Cricetulus griseus: one gene and its partners. The protein of the gene in region 3 interacts with the protein of the main gene of each other region in a pairwise test. Links are inferred from orthologs where the notes say so. Each region holds a gene or a part of one and is shown on either strand. Other genes may lie near its edges.

The links.
Region 1: the proteins of serine/threonine-protein phosphatase 2B catalytic subunit alpha isoform (region 3) and Akap5 interact in binary tests that used the Homo sapiens proteins (3 or more experiments, as listed by UniProt). The link is inferred for Cricetulus griseus from reciprocal best matches to the Homo sapiens genes PPP3CA and AKAP5.
Region 2: the proteins of serine/threonine-protein phosphatase 2B catalytic subunit alpha isoform (region 3) and CUNH16orf74 interact in binary tests that used the Homo sapiens proteins (3 or more experiments, as listed by UniProt). The two-hybrid records come from large-scale screens. The link is inferred for Cricetulus griseus from reciprocal best matches to the Homo sapiens genes PPP3CA and C16orf74.

Annotation. Positions count from the first base shown.
Region 1 is NC_048598.1:127,161,984-127,166,116, reverse strand, and holds the start of Akap5 (A-kinase anchor protein 5), read left to right. Parts: upstream 1-1,289; 5' UTR 1,290-1,494; coding exon 1,495-3,543; 3' UTR 3,544-4,133. UniProt on the Homo sapiens protein: Multivalent scaffold protein that anchors the cAMP-dependent protein kinase/PKA to cytoskeletal and/or organelle-associated proteins, targeting the signal carried by cAMP to specific intracellular effectors.
Region 2 is NC_048596.1:197,251,967-197,256,255, reverse strand, and holds the start of CUNH16orf74 (uncharacterized protein C16orf74 homolog), read left to right. Parts: upstream 1-1,445; coding exon 1,446-1,532; intron 1,533-4,289.
Region 3 is NW_023276806.1:22,889,673-22,893,948, reverse strand, and holds the start of serine/threonine-protein phosphatase 2B catalytic subunit alpha isoform, read left to right. Parts: upstream 1-1,474; 5' UTR 1,475-2,209; coding exon 2,210-2,267; intron 2,268-4,276. UniProt on the Homo sapiens protein: Calcium-dependent, calmodulin-stimulated protein phosphatase which plays an essential role in the transduction of intracellular Ca(2+)-mediated signals. Many of the substrates contain a PxIxIT motif and/or a LxVP motif.

The sequences.
Region 1 (4,133 bases), on a different chromosome or scaffold from region 3:
GAATTTCCATGCAAGCAGAATAATTTGCCTAACTTAGGATGTCTACCAACTAAAATCCATTCCATTCTGTAGATCGTTATTTTTTGGTGGTACTGGGGATCAAATCTCAGACCTTGTGGCTAGGCCAACGGTCTATCCCTGAGCTATATACCCAGACCCACAGCTTAGCTTTGCATATTCTTTTCTCTTGAGACAGGGTCTCAGGTAACCAGTGCTGGCTTCAAATACACTATATGGCTGTGGATGACCTTGATTGGTTCTCCTGCCTCCACCTCCCACATGCTGGTGTTGCCTGGTGCACCACCAAAACCAGCCTCAAATGGAAGTCAGATCACGAGCTTCAGAAGCAGGTGGGCTTCAGAAGCAGGCACCTCAGGTTAAACCTGAGCACTAAGGCTGACTAGCTTTAATCTTAGGCAGGCTGCTTAACTGCAGATGGAGATCTCACCACCTCCTCACTCTGGGATACTGTGGTGCAGGTTAGAGATGCATGAGAAAGTGCTTAGCGCCGCCTCATACCCAGGAGTTGCACAACCAGTGTTGGCTATTACCTCACTAACCTCCAGCTGTGTGCAGTTATAGTGGGAAAGTGTGAGTAGCAGACACTTCGGTGAAAATGTCAAAGTTACACAACAACTTTAAGATGGAAGAACGACAGTCTGAGCAATGCTGGGTTTTTCTGAGAGTCTGTATGGAAAGTAGCACCTCCTTGATGGAATGTACAATTTTAGAACGGAAACCGTATGCTACAATAGAAAGAACACCAGAGAGTCAAAATTTGTACTTCTGACTCTGGCTAGGACCTCATCTAGCCTAAGGCTTTCTGCAAGCCCATTACCCACTGGGGAGCTCAATTTCGTCATTGGGCTGGACTTGATTAATCTTGAGTCATCTCCCAGGTCCTTAGCAATGCCATAGTTCTTCACTGAAGGTGATGAGAAAGGAGTCCCGCTGCCCTATCACTTGCAGTCTGTTGTTTTGTTGTTGTTGCTTGTTAAACTTTTTATGTGGGGCTATAAAATTCATGGAGAAGTCAACTAAGGACCAGGGCACTCTTGCAGAGTGACCACAAACAAAGTTTTAACAAAAATAATAGAACAAAATGGGTTCACACAGGAAGCTTTTTTGATAGGGCAAAAGCAAGCCTCAATTTGAAGCCATGGTTGTTTTGGTATGTACCACAGGGCATATGCCCCATATAACGTAAGTTATATTAAAAATAATAGGCTCGTGGTGAAATATAACCCCACTTTTTTCTCTTATCAGGTTGATCTTTGAATAAAGGCGAATTTTATCCAGGAAAGAGCTTTCATTCGAAGGGGAAAATAAAGGAAGAATCATAAGCAACAGATAAACAAGGCAGTTATGTCCTGAAAAAGCTATAGAAACAACTGTGGAGTGAAAGCAGGGCAGGCACCCAGGAGAAATTGGACTTGGTGTGATATTTTTGTCACAAAAGGCTTCAAGAGGAAGAGAGAAGACACTTCCCAGAGAATGAAAGAGTGTAGTGTAAAAATGGAGACCAAAGTTTCTGAGATTCAGATAGAAACTAAGGATGAGAAGGGGCCAGTAGCTGTTAGTCCTCAGGAAGAGAGGCAGCAGAGAAAAACAGCCACTCTTTGCTTCAAGAGAAGGAAGAAAGCAAACAAGATGAAACCTAAATCTGGTTCCAAAACTGCTGAGGCCACAAAAAAGCATCCCCCAGAAGCTGGGGCTTCTGATCAGCCACAGCCAGCAGGGGCCTGGGCCTCCATCAAACGCCTTGTCACACACAGGAAAAGGTCAGGGTCTTCGGAGAAGCAGAAGCCATCTGAGGCTGAAGTACAGCCCGAGGACTCGGCTCTTCCTAAGAAAAAGGCAAAATCCAGACTCAAGATTCCTTGCATAAGATTCTCAAGAGGGGCAAAGAGAGGTCATCATTCTAAACTCACAGACGATTCAGACTACAACCTCAGAGTCCAAGGAGGGGCTGAGGATTTGGAGACAAAAACCCAGACTCAGTCAACTGACCAAGCTAAGTCCATACAGGGCCCACAGGAAGGTGGGTTGGTGGACAGTAAGGAGGCCCAAGAATCGCATGTCAGCAACAGCATCACATCTAGAGAGAATGTGATTTCTGTAGAACTGGAATTAGAAAAGGAGGCTTCTGCTATTCAGATGGGAACTCCAGTGCTGGAGAAGGAAACTAAAGGGATTAAGGAAAAGCCAAGCGTACAAGCGCAGCAAGCAAGTCCACTCGGGAGTTCAGAAACAGACAGCCCCCGTCCAGTGGCTTCTGATGTTCCTGCCTCACCAGCAACCACCTATCAACGCAGTGTGGAAGAACCCAGGGATGGCATTCAAGAAAGTGCACCAAGTAGAAAAGATGACAGAAGTGGAAAGAGTACAGCTGAAGAAAAGAAATCCGGAGAAATTGTGCTGGGCCAGGCCAAAGAAACTACATTGAGCCAGACAGAAAAAGCTGCTGTCAGCCAGGCAGACAAGAGTGCAATGGCCCAGGCAGAGGAAGGTACCATGGCTGCCATGGCCCAGACAGAAGAAGGTAAACTGAGCCAGGCAGAGGAAGCTTCAGTGGCTCAGGCAGAGGAAGTTGCCTTGGCCCGAGCAGAGGAAGCCATCGTGGCCCAGACAGAGGAAGGTAAACTGAGTCGAGCAGAGGAAGCCACCATGGCCCAGACAGAGAAAGGTAAACTGAGCCAGGCAGAGGAAGCTGCCGTGGCCATCGTGGCCCAGGTAGAGGAAGCTTCAGTGGCTCAGGCAGAGGAAGTTGCCTTGGCCCAAGCAGAGGAAGCCACCATGGCCCAGGCAGAGGAAGGTAAACTGAGCCAAGCAGAGGAAGCTGCTGTGGCCACTGTGGCCCAGACAGAGGAAGGTAAACTGAGCCAGGCAGAGGAAGCTTCAGTGGCTCAGGCAGAGGAAGTTGCCTTGGCCCAAGCAGAGGAAGCCACTGTGGCCCAGGCAGAGGAAACTGCAGTGGCCCAGGCAGTGGAAGGTAAACTGAGCCAGACAGAGGAAGCTTCAGTGGCTCAGGCAGAGGAAGTTGCCTTGGCCCAAGCAGAGGAAGCCACCGTGGCCCAGGCAGAGGAAACTGCAGTGGCCCAGGCAAAGGAAGACGCCGTGGCCCAGGCAAAGGAAGACGCCGTGGCCCAGGTAGTGGAAGGTAAACTGAGCCAGACAGAGGAAGCTGCACTGAGCCAGGCACCAGATCTGAAAGAAAATGGAATCGATACAGAGAAACCCAGATCAGAAGAAAGCAAAAGAATGGAGCCAATTGCTATTATCATCACTGACACTGAAATCAGTGAATTTGATGTTAAGAAATCTAAAAATGTCCCCAAGCAATTCCTAATTTCAATGGAAAATGAGCAAGTAGGGGTTTTTGCTAATGATAGTGATTTCGAAGGGAGAACTTCAGAACAATATGAGACACTCTTAATAGAAACAGCCTCTTCTCTCGTCAACAATGCTATCCAGTTGTCTGTAGAACAGCTGGTTAATGAAATGGTGTCTGAGGATAATAAAATAAATACTCTGTTACAGTGACTTCATTTCCAGATCATGGGAAAGGAAGAAAACAACTCAAAGATGAGTTCTTTTATACATTTGTGGCACTTCTTTCTCAGTAATAAATTAAAGGCTTGTCATCTGTGGAATTTAGAGGGGAAGTTCCAGCCCAGAAGTGCTCAAGAAAAAATGAAGTTTATAAAACTCATTGAAACACAGTCACTTCTGGACTGGAGGGAGTCAGCATAGATCACAAGGTGCAGTGACATGCAGGAAGGTGCAGAATGACCTACGATGAGTTCAGTGTGTTGAGAAAGACTACTTATTGAACACTTGGTGTGCTGTGTGCTCCTTGCTGTTCCCTAATGTCGTGAAGTCTGGGTCTTTCCTGATGGTTCGACCCTGTATATAGGCGAACACTGCCTTTGCTTTTCTTTTACAGTATGTTTTCCTGTTATTTCTAATGGTGAGTCAGGTGGGCTGGTGTTTTGTCCCTCACGGGTTCCTTACAAAGCCATTCACAGGTTTCTTCAGCCGGGCGAGTAGTTAACAAGTGTGTAAGCGTGGAAACAGGGGAGTGCTTTTTCTTCTCTCCCCGTCTTCCTTCTGCCCAGAAGACCTGTATATAC
Region 2 (4,289 bases), on a different chromosome or scaffold from region 3:
TGCCCCATTGCTCTATGTCCAACGTGGACATAGAGCAGTTGGCAGCTCAGAAAGTAGCCTGTTGGGACTCATGGGAGGTGATATACCGTTAGGGGACATGACCTTGGCTCTTGGGAGATACCAGGGATCCCCAAAAAAGTCAGGCATGAAGGAGGCAAATGTTCATCATTTATGTGCACACATGTGAAAGCATCCCCTTCCTGCCCTGGGTGAAGGAACAGGGCTCGGGGGACATGTGAGATGTGAGATGTTGTGCTATAGAACTGTGACAAGAGCAAATGCCCTGCTGCAGCTACTAAGCACTTCTGTTCATCCTGGTTCATGCCTGCAAACAGGCATGGCAGGCAGGAGCATAGTGCTTACCCAGGAATGCCCACGTCACACCAAGACCTCCCTGGGCGTTCAAGCTGGGGCAGCTCCCACCTTGTCTGAGGAAGGTGAGCAGGGAACTATCCTGCCCACCTGCCCACTTCTGTTGGAATGCTGAAGACTATATGATCCATTTTGTATCACTTTGGCCTGAACAAAGCCAGGGCCTGTAACTTCACTAGAGTTTTTAGTGATGGCTCAAAGTAGGAACATGAATATCTGTGTATTCCACTCTTCTGCCCTGGACCCCTTGTAATCATTTGGAAGATAGCTCCAGGTGTGGAGAGCTGGAGCTTGAAGAGTGGGCGTGACACTATAGGCTTGTGACAAAGAACTGAGCTAGGCAGGTGAGTGGGACTTCAAGGAGCCACCCCCCTCCCCAAGCCATTAAGACACAGGCCTGAAAGCCACACCTGGGCTTGAAGAGTGTGGGTGTGTGGGCCTGTGGAGGAGGGGGATTGGGGAAGCCATGTCATATCTCTGGCACTGAAAACATAAACACAAAGAAGGCTAGGCACTGGCCCATGTTTTTGAGCCCAGCACTTGGAAGATAGAGGCCAGAGGATCAGGGGTTCAAGGGCTGCTTGGGTGGGCGACAACAGACCCTATCTCAAACACTACAAAAGAAACCATGATGCTAGGGGTAGGGAGTGGAGAGGCGGCAGCCCAAGTCCTCTTAGTCTGCACGCTCAGGTCCTCTGCCAGCTGTGGCAGAAGGAAGCACGTGGCCAGTCAAAATGCCAGAACCCAGCAGCAGGGAAGCCCGTGGGTCACAATGCCACCTGAACCTTCCAACCGCAGCGACGAGCTGGGGGCGTAACTTCTACGTCTCTGCAGGAGAGGCGGAGCCGGGCGCCCCTTTCCCTCCACAGCACCAGGGACAGCTGCCGGTGTCCAAACTTTCCCGAGTGCAGGGAGGACGGCTGGGGTGGGGGAGGCGGGCCGGGAGGCGCGGCGGCCCGGGTTGTGACTGCGCCCAGGGCGGGCTGCGGGGCGGAGCGGCCTGGGCGGCGCCGCCCTCCAGGTGCCGGGCGGGGGCTGAGGCTAGCGCCGCCGCGGGGAGAGCAGGCCGGGCCATGACCCCCGCAGCCCGCGGCTGCAGGCGCGTCGCCTGGTGTCCCGCACGGCCACCAGCGTCCGCGCCCAGCGCGCTCCAGAAAGCGGTGAGTGCGTGTGCGCCGTGCGCGCCCCGGCGGACACATCCGGACCTGGGAGGAACCCAAGACAGGGGACCCCAGAGCCATGGAGACCAGGGACGGTGGGGATTCCGGGGTGGGTGGAAATCCAGGACGGTGGAGACCGGGGTTGGAGAACCCTAGAGCGTAGGTACCCCAGGGCGGGGTGGAGACGCCGGGGGAGGGGCTGTGGAGACCCCAAGGTGGTAGAGACTTAAGAGTGATGGGGGCACCTTTTGGTCCCAAGGCGTCCCACAACTTCCCGCGGACTTCGCTGCCCAGCTCGGTTCCTTTTGGCTGCATGCCTGGCATTGGGCGGGGGCGTGTCCCGAGCGTGGCAGCCTCAGACCCTTCTATGCACCGGGTTTGGCTGTCAAGTAGCCGAGCAGTCGGGCGAGGTGGGGGCAGGAGGCCTCGGGAGGAACCGCTTCCCTCCACCAAGTGTTTCGAATGTATTATTGATGAGCTGCCTCGCTTAGGGGCGCCCAGTACATCAAAGCAGCCTGGTGACCGCAAAGGGTGACCCGCGCAAAGCAGGCACTTCTCCTGGCAGGGCTGGCCCGGGCAGATCTGGGGAGGGCGCTTATTTAAAAGAGGATCCTCAGCTCCCCTGGGGGACTGTGAGGGCAGGAGGGACTTCTGGCCTTTGCCAAGAGAACAGTAGCAGCAATGTAGAAGTCATTCCCGAGAGAGTATAGAAATGTTTTACAGATAGGGAAACTGAGTCCCAGGTGCCTTCTCCTGAGTGGTAGACTCTGCTGTCTCTCTCCAGCCTGAGACACTTCCTGGCCCTGTCTTGGGTTGTGCTACCAGCTAAGAGCACCTCTTACAGACCCCTTTCCTTCCCAGACCACAATGTGGACTGTCCTGGGTAGGCCATACCCACCTCCGGCCCTGTCCTGTTCCCCCTCCCCCGAGTCCAGGTCCTCTGCACAGGAGAGAGGCCGTGTATTTATGGAAAGTCTTAATCCCTCCACCAGCCCCAAGGCTGTGGAAATCTGTGTCTAATCTGTCCCTGGAAGGCCTCAGCTGGTGGGCACACACCAGGCAGGAGTGTGTGTCCCCTAGGGAGGTGTAGGTCACTCAAGAGACTTAAAAATCAACTCGTCCTCAGGAGGACGCTGAGATGTTAGTGCTTAGCCAGCAGTTGGCCTGTGCCAGACCTGCACCAGCTGTTTTCACACTCACACCAACCCTCTAACCCACGCCTCCTCTTGTCCCCATTTTAAAGGCAGGAAACTGAGGCAGAAAGGTAGATAAGGCCAAGTGTTAGCCCAGAGGCAACAGAGAATGGCTCTCATCTTGGGGGGGGGGCTGCAGAATCATGGGAAATGACCCACCATAGAGAATGATTGAGGATAGCCCACTCAACAGAAACCCATCATTCTCCCAAGGCCCAACACAGCCTTTGTTTCCTGATAGTAGCCACCAAGAACACAGTACTCATTTCTGCTATGCCCCTGTGTTCAGTCTTTCAGAAAACAAAAAATCTTTTTCAATTTATTTCTGTGTGTAAGAATGTTTTGCTTGCATGTATGACTACCCATACACATGCCTGGTGCCCTTGGAGGGCATTGGATCCTGTGGAGCTGGTTGTGAGCTACCATGGGATGCTGGGAATAGAATCCAGGTCGTCTGCAAGAGCAATAAATGCTCTTAACCACTGAGCCATCTTCCCCTCACTGCATCTCACCCTCCATGTTCAATCTTAACTGCTATAGAAAACATGAGGACATTCCCTTGCACTGTAGGCTTTGTTTAGCAGATGTTTCTAATGGTTTGAAGAGAGTGGGGCATGAGGGCCACTAAGTGGCCCAGAGCAGGTAGCAGGCTGGTGGGAATTCAGGGCTAGCCCTCGGTGGGGTCTTGGTGGCTGTTGGCCTCTCTAGGTTCCCTGAGACTTTCAGGTTGGCAGTCTGGCCTTGGCCAGCATCTGTTCTCAGCATGGTGCCTGCCTGGGCTGGAATTGAAAGAATTCTAATCCTGTCACACAAATAAAGTGACTTTCCTAAGCAAGGAAGAAACCCAGATGTGGGTGTGCCCAGCATGCTTCAAGCAGGAAGCAGTCTGTGTGGGAGCTTAAGAAACAGCTAAGGTACCAGTTTGCCCTGCCCAGCCTTCTCCAGCCTCTCAGGTCCACACACAAATGGTCCGACTGCTCCTGCCCAGCCTGGTCCTTAAAGGAGGGCTTTGTTAAGGAGTTGGGGCACCGTGCCACTGTGACTCAGGCTCTCTTGGCAGGGTCATTCATGTGGGAGGTGACTGGGCAGAGAGCATGCCCAGAGGGGCTCCCAGCCCAACAGCCTGCTTAGTATTCATTCATACACTCATGACAGCTGATGTTAGAATCAGGACTATGGCTAAAGTAGCCAAGGTTCCAAAGAAGAAAGTAAAGGGGCCCAGCTCAGGCCAGTTGAAGGTCCACACTGAATCAGATAAGACCCAGGCATCCTACCTTCAGCCTGGAGCCTGTCACTCCATCCCTCAGCAGCTCCAGGCTTGTGTGGCTCTAGACACAGGCTGGTCCTGTCTTCTATGAGCAGGCCCACACCATAGTGACTTCTTTTTTCTGTTGCAAGCCTGTGAGAGCCAGATGGTGAAGTCACTTCTGATGGACATTGGTCCACTGAAGACCTCATTGCCCACTTGTGTCTCTTCCCCACCTCCCACTTGTATTGATCAATTGCTTGAGTTCTGAGGAAGGAGTTGCAAAAAGGTCAGGAGAACATGGGTGGGAACTGTTCT
Region 3 (4,276 bases):
GGAATCTGACCACCAGGGGCAGCCTCCCTTTGCTGGTGGATGCCCCCACCCACTCTATCTCGTCCTTAATCTAGCAGGCCTCTACAGGGTTGCTCTTTATAGTGTCTGCTAGAATTCCATGAAGCCACACACTCCAGCGTCATGCGCCACCAGTCTGCTATTAAAACTTATTTTTTTTTTTTCCGGATTGGAGTTTAATCTAATCCCTGTCGCCAAAACAGTTCTCCTGGCTCCATCTCCTAGCTTCCTAAAAACGCTTATTCGGCCTTTTATTGGGCCCACAGTCCAATTCAGGAACTAGGAAAACCATGACATTGAAGGAATTTGAAAAAAAAAAAAAAAAAGCCCAGGAAGGACGAGGGTTATAAATTTATTCAGCCTTCTTCATAATTTCCTTGCAGGTCCTTGGAAAGGCCAGGGAGAAAGAAGGCTGTGTCCAGACGACCTGCTGCAGAGAGACACTTTCTTAAGCCAGAGCCCCTTGAAAGGAATGATCAGCGCCACCAGTACCCCATTCTCCTACTTTCCTTTTTACACCGGACTTGTGAAAATTCTCAAGGCCCTGCACCTACCTTGAGCACCAAGTGACTAAGTGAAAGGAGCAAGACTTTTAATGTCACCTATCTCCACCAGTGACTGCGTACACGTGTGAACAAGGAAAAGGCGACCTCTCTTGAGTTTTCCCGACTCCTCTTATCTCCTAGGAGACACGAGGGCATCCTGGGTCACTGAGCATTGCCTGGTTCGCACAGGCTCCAGTCCGTCCCCATCCTTCCTGGATAACCAAGCCACCACGTCCCGCAGCGCCCGAAACACACTTTGGCCAGAAACCCCCTCTTCCCGTGAAGTTGTGCTCGCATTCTAACCACCGCACCAACAGTAAGTAACCCGCGTCCACCTAAACCCAGGCAGAGCCGCCTCCCCAAGGTAAGCTGTTTACTCGTCGCCGTCCTGGCGATCCTCCCTGGACAGCTGCGGCAGCGACAGCAGCTGCGCCGCGGCCCCGAGCGCTGGGCACTCCTCCTTCCTCCCTCCCGGGTCTCCGATCTCACTCCTGCAGGCCACTCGCACACGGGCAGCCGTCACCACACACCCGGGAGTGTGCGCGGGGACCCAGGGGGGTGGGCAGGCGTGGCGGCACGCAGCAGCCCAGCTCCTGCCGGCCCGTGCTCCCGGCCCAGCCTCCCTCCTCTCTGCCCACCTCTGTGACACCTGAGCGGCCACTGGGCGGTGGGGGTTGCAGGCCCGCGGGACCGAGTGGCACCCCGGAGAAAACAGAGCAGGGGGCGGGACGGCAGCACAGACCACCGCCTTAGCGGTGAGGAGCGCGCGCCGCAGCCTATGAGCTTGTGAGAGCAGGGCGTGGGGGCGGGCCCGGGGGCGGGCCCCGAGGAGGAGGCGGCCCGGGCGCTGGAGGCGGGGGCGGTGGGGAGGAAGGGGAGGAGGCGGAGGCGGGCGCGGTGGTGGTGGTGGCGGCGGCCGGCACGGCGGCGGAGGCGAGGTTGTGCCCCGGACTGTGTCCACCGAGCTCGGCGGCTGTTGCCTGTGCGTGGAGAAGCAGCGGCGCCGCGAGGCAGAGCGGGATCGCGGGCGAGCGCGGCGGCGGGACGTCCACGGCGGCCGCGGCCCCGGCGGCGGCCGGCGACGATCGGCGTGGGGAAGCAGCGGCGGCCGCAGCGGCAGCCGCCTCTTCGCCACCGGGACGCCAGGCGCGGCTGGCGGCGCTGACATCCACGGCCCTGCCTCTCCTCCCTCGCCCCCGGCCCTCCCCATGTGATCGGTCTTAATCCCGACCGTGTGCGCGCGTGGGGGCTCCATTGCGCGGCGCTCGGTGTCGGTGCCCGGGTGGGTGCTCGCGTGCGCTTCTCCTCCCCATCCCCCGCCCCGTCCCCAAGAATAAAAGAAGAACCGGGAGGCGTGCTCAGAAAATAAATAAATAACCAGCACACACGCGCAGCCCGGAGCGAGGCGGCGGGGCTGGCGGCGGCGGAGGAGGAGTGAAGGCGGCGGCGACGGAGGAGGGACGCGCGGAGCCGGCAGTAACTTTCGAGCCAGCCCAGAGCCCGGAGCTCCAGCCGAGCGGTTTGCAGCGCGGCGGCGGCGGCGGCGGCGGCGGCGGCGCTGAGTGTCTGGCCCGCCGGTGCGGTCGGGGTGTGCAGTCGGACGGGACGAGCAGCGCGTCGCTGTCCCCCCCTCCCGGCGGCTGGAGATGTCCGAGTCCAAGGCGATTGATCCCAAGTTGTCGACGACCGACAGGGTGGTGAAAGGTAAGCGCAGCGCCGTGGCGGCCCGGGGTGCACCGAGTGCCGCAGGCGCCCGGCCGCCCCTCCCCCGCCCCGGTTGTCCCTCTCCGGCTCGCGCCGGGGACCTTCTAGGATCTCCTGCAAGCGGCGATCCCCCTCCTCCGCCGCGCCCTGCCCCCACACCGCCCACCCGGCCCCAACAGGGGCATTTTGTGTGTGTGTGTGTGTGTGTGTGTGTGTGTGTGTGTGTACGGGGGGCAGCAGTTGGCAAATGGCTGAGCGCCTGGGAGGCGGTGGCGGGTGGCGGTGGCGGGGTGGGCGGTGGCGGGAGGGGGCGCCCGGGGGGGGGGTGACTGCTGGCAGGGTGTAGCTGCTGTGACAGAAATAGGAAGTGGGTGGCTGCTCGCGGGCTTGCATGGGATCGGGTTTATGGCTTGCTCTTTGTAGAGGGAGGGGAGGTGATTTATGGCTTTTAAAAAATTAATAGGGCATTTTTATGTGGCCGTGGCTTGCCGCGGACTGGCTCGCCCGGGCACGGTGCTCCAGGCGCTCCATTGCAGCAGTTCCCCGGGCGCCCCCTCCCCCTCCGCGGGAAGGGCCTGCACAGGACTCGCGAGAGAGCGGGAGAGCGTGGGGGGAGCCCAGCTCCGGCTGCCTCGCGCCGCGGGGCGGGGGGCCGCGGGGGCGGGGGCGGCGTGGGGCAGCGCCAGGCGGCGGGCGACCCGAGCGCCCCACCCCCACCCCCTGGCCGCCCCGGGATTTCCCTGCAGGCCTGGAGCAAAGAGAGCGGTGGCGGTCCTCTGTCGACCTCCCTTGTCACCCATGGCTGGCTGCCGCCGACCTGTCATTGCTCTTAAAGGGTTCCCTGCTGGTGCGAGACTCTAGGGTGGGAAGCTCACCCTGCTCCCTTTCCCCAAGCTCCTGACACCCCCTTGGTAACGGGCTACTTGATTCTCTGATTGCCAGGGATGACATGTATGTGTACAACTGGCAGCGATGGCTATGCGTTGCTGGCTAGGAGAAACCCTGCTTAGGGTGAGGGAGGGGACAACGTGGTTGCCCTTTCTATACTCCTGCTGAGAAGGGATCCCACCATCCTCACTGTATTCCAACGTGGAATAGGGGAGGAACCGCAGATCCGCAAGGATTAAATAGTGTCACTTATTCTTGGGATCAGGGTACTGAGCAAAGCCGAGATGGGCACCAGCCTGTGCAGACTGTGCCTCTGAAACTGGAAGCAAAGATGGGGGTGGAGTGTGTGTGTGTGTGTGTGTGTGTGTGTGTGTGTGTGTGTGTGTGTGTGTGTGTGTGTGTGTGAGATATGAACAGAGATGGTTGGTGTCTTATGCAGCCAGAGCATTCAGTTGGAGTGCAAAGCAATCAAGTCATTTGCTCCAGAAACACTTAGGTGAAAGTAACCCGGCACCCAAAGACCATGATACATAGTCTCTGGAGTCTTGGGAAAAAAAATCCTTGCTCCTTTCACATTTGCTCGGTTTTTTCAAGCCCCCCCCAATCTCTCTCTCTCTCTCTCTCTCTCTCTCTCTCTCTCTCTCTCTCTCTCTCTCTCTCTCTCTGTGTGTGTGTGTGTGTTATGTTCTCTTTTATGAGAGAATAAAACATTATCTCTCCTTTTGGATACATTGGGATCAATCCTACTTCAATGTAGGATTCATAGAGCCATCAAAATAAAGAAGGAATAGCTCTGCAAAAAAAAAAAAAAAAAGGTAATAGAGCTACAGAGGCACAACTATCTTTTCTGCAGGCATGGGTCCTTATGTAAACACTGGATGCAAATCCATTCCAAAGAACTGTGTTGTACTTCCGTTGGCTTAAAAATTAAGACCTTTTGTGTAAAATACCAGAGAACAACAGATCTCTGTAATGTGTGAAATTTAGGTGTGACTCCAATCAAAAGATAACATGTTTTCTAAACAGTTAAGGCAATAGTTTACAACTTAGATGGTACTGTGTGTTGGTAGTGAAGTAAAAGTAGTGTGTTCATGTAATGTCACACTCCCCATATTAAATCT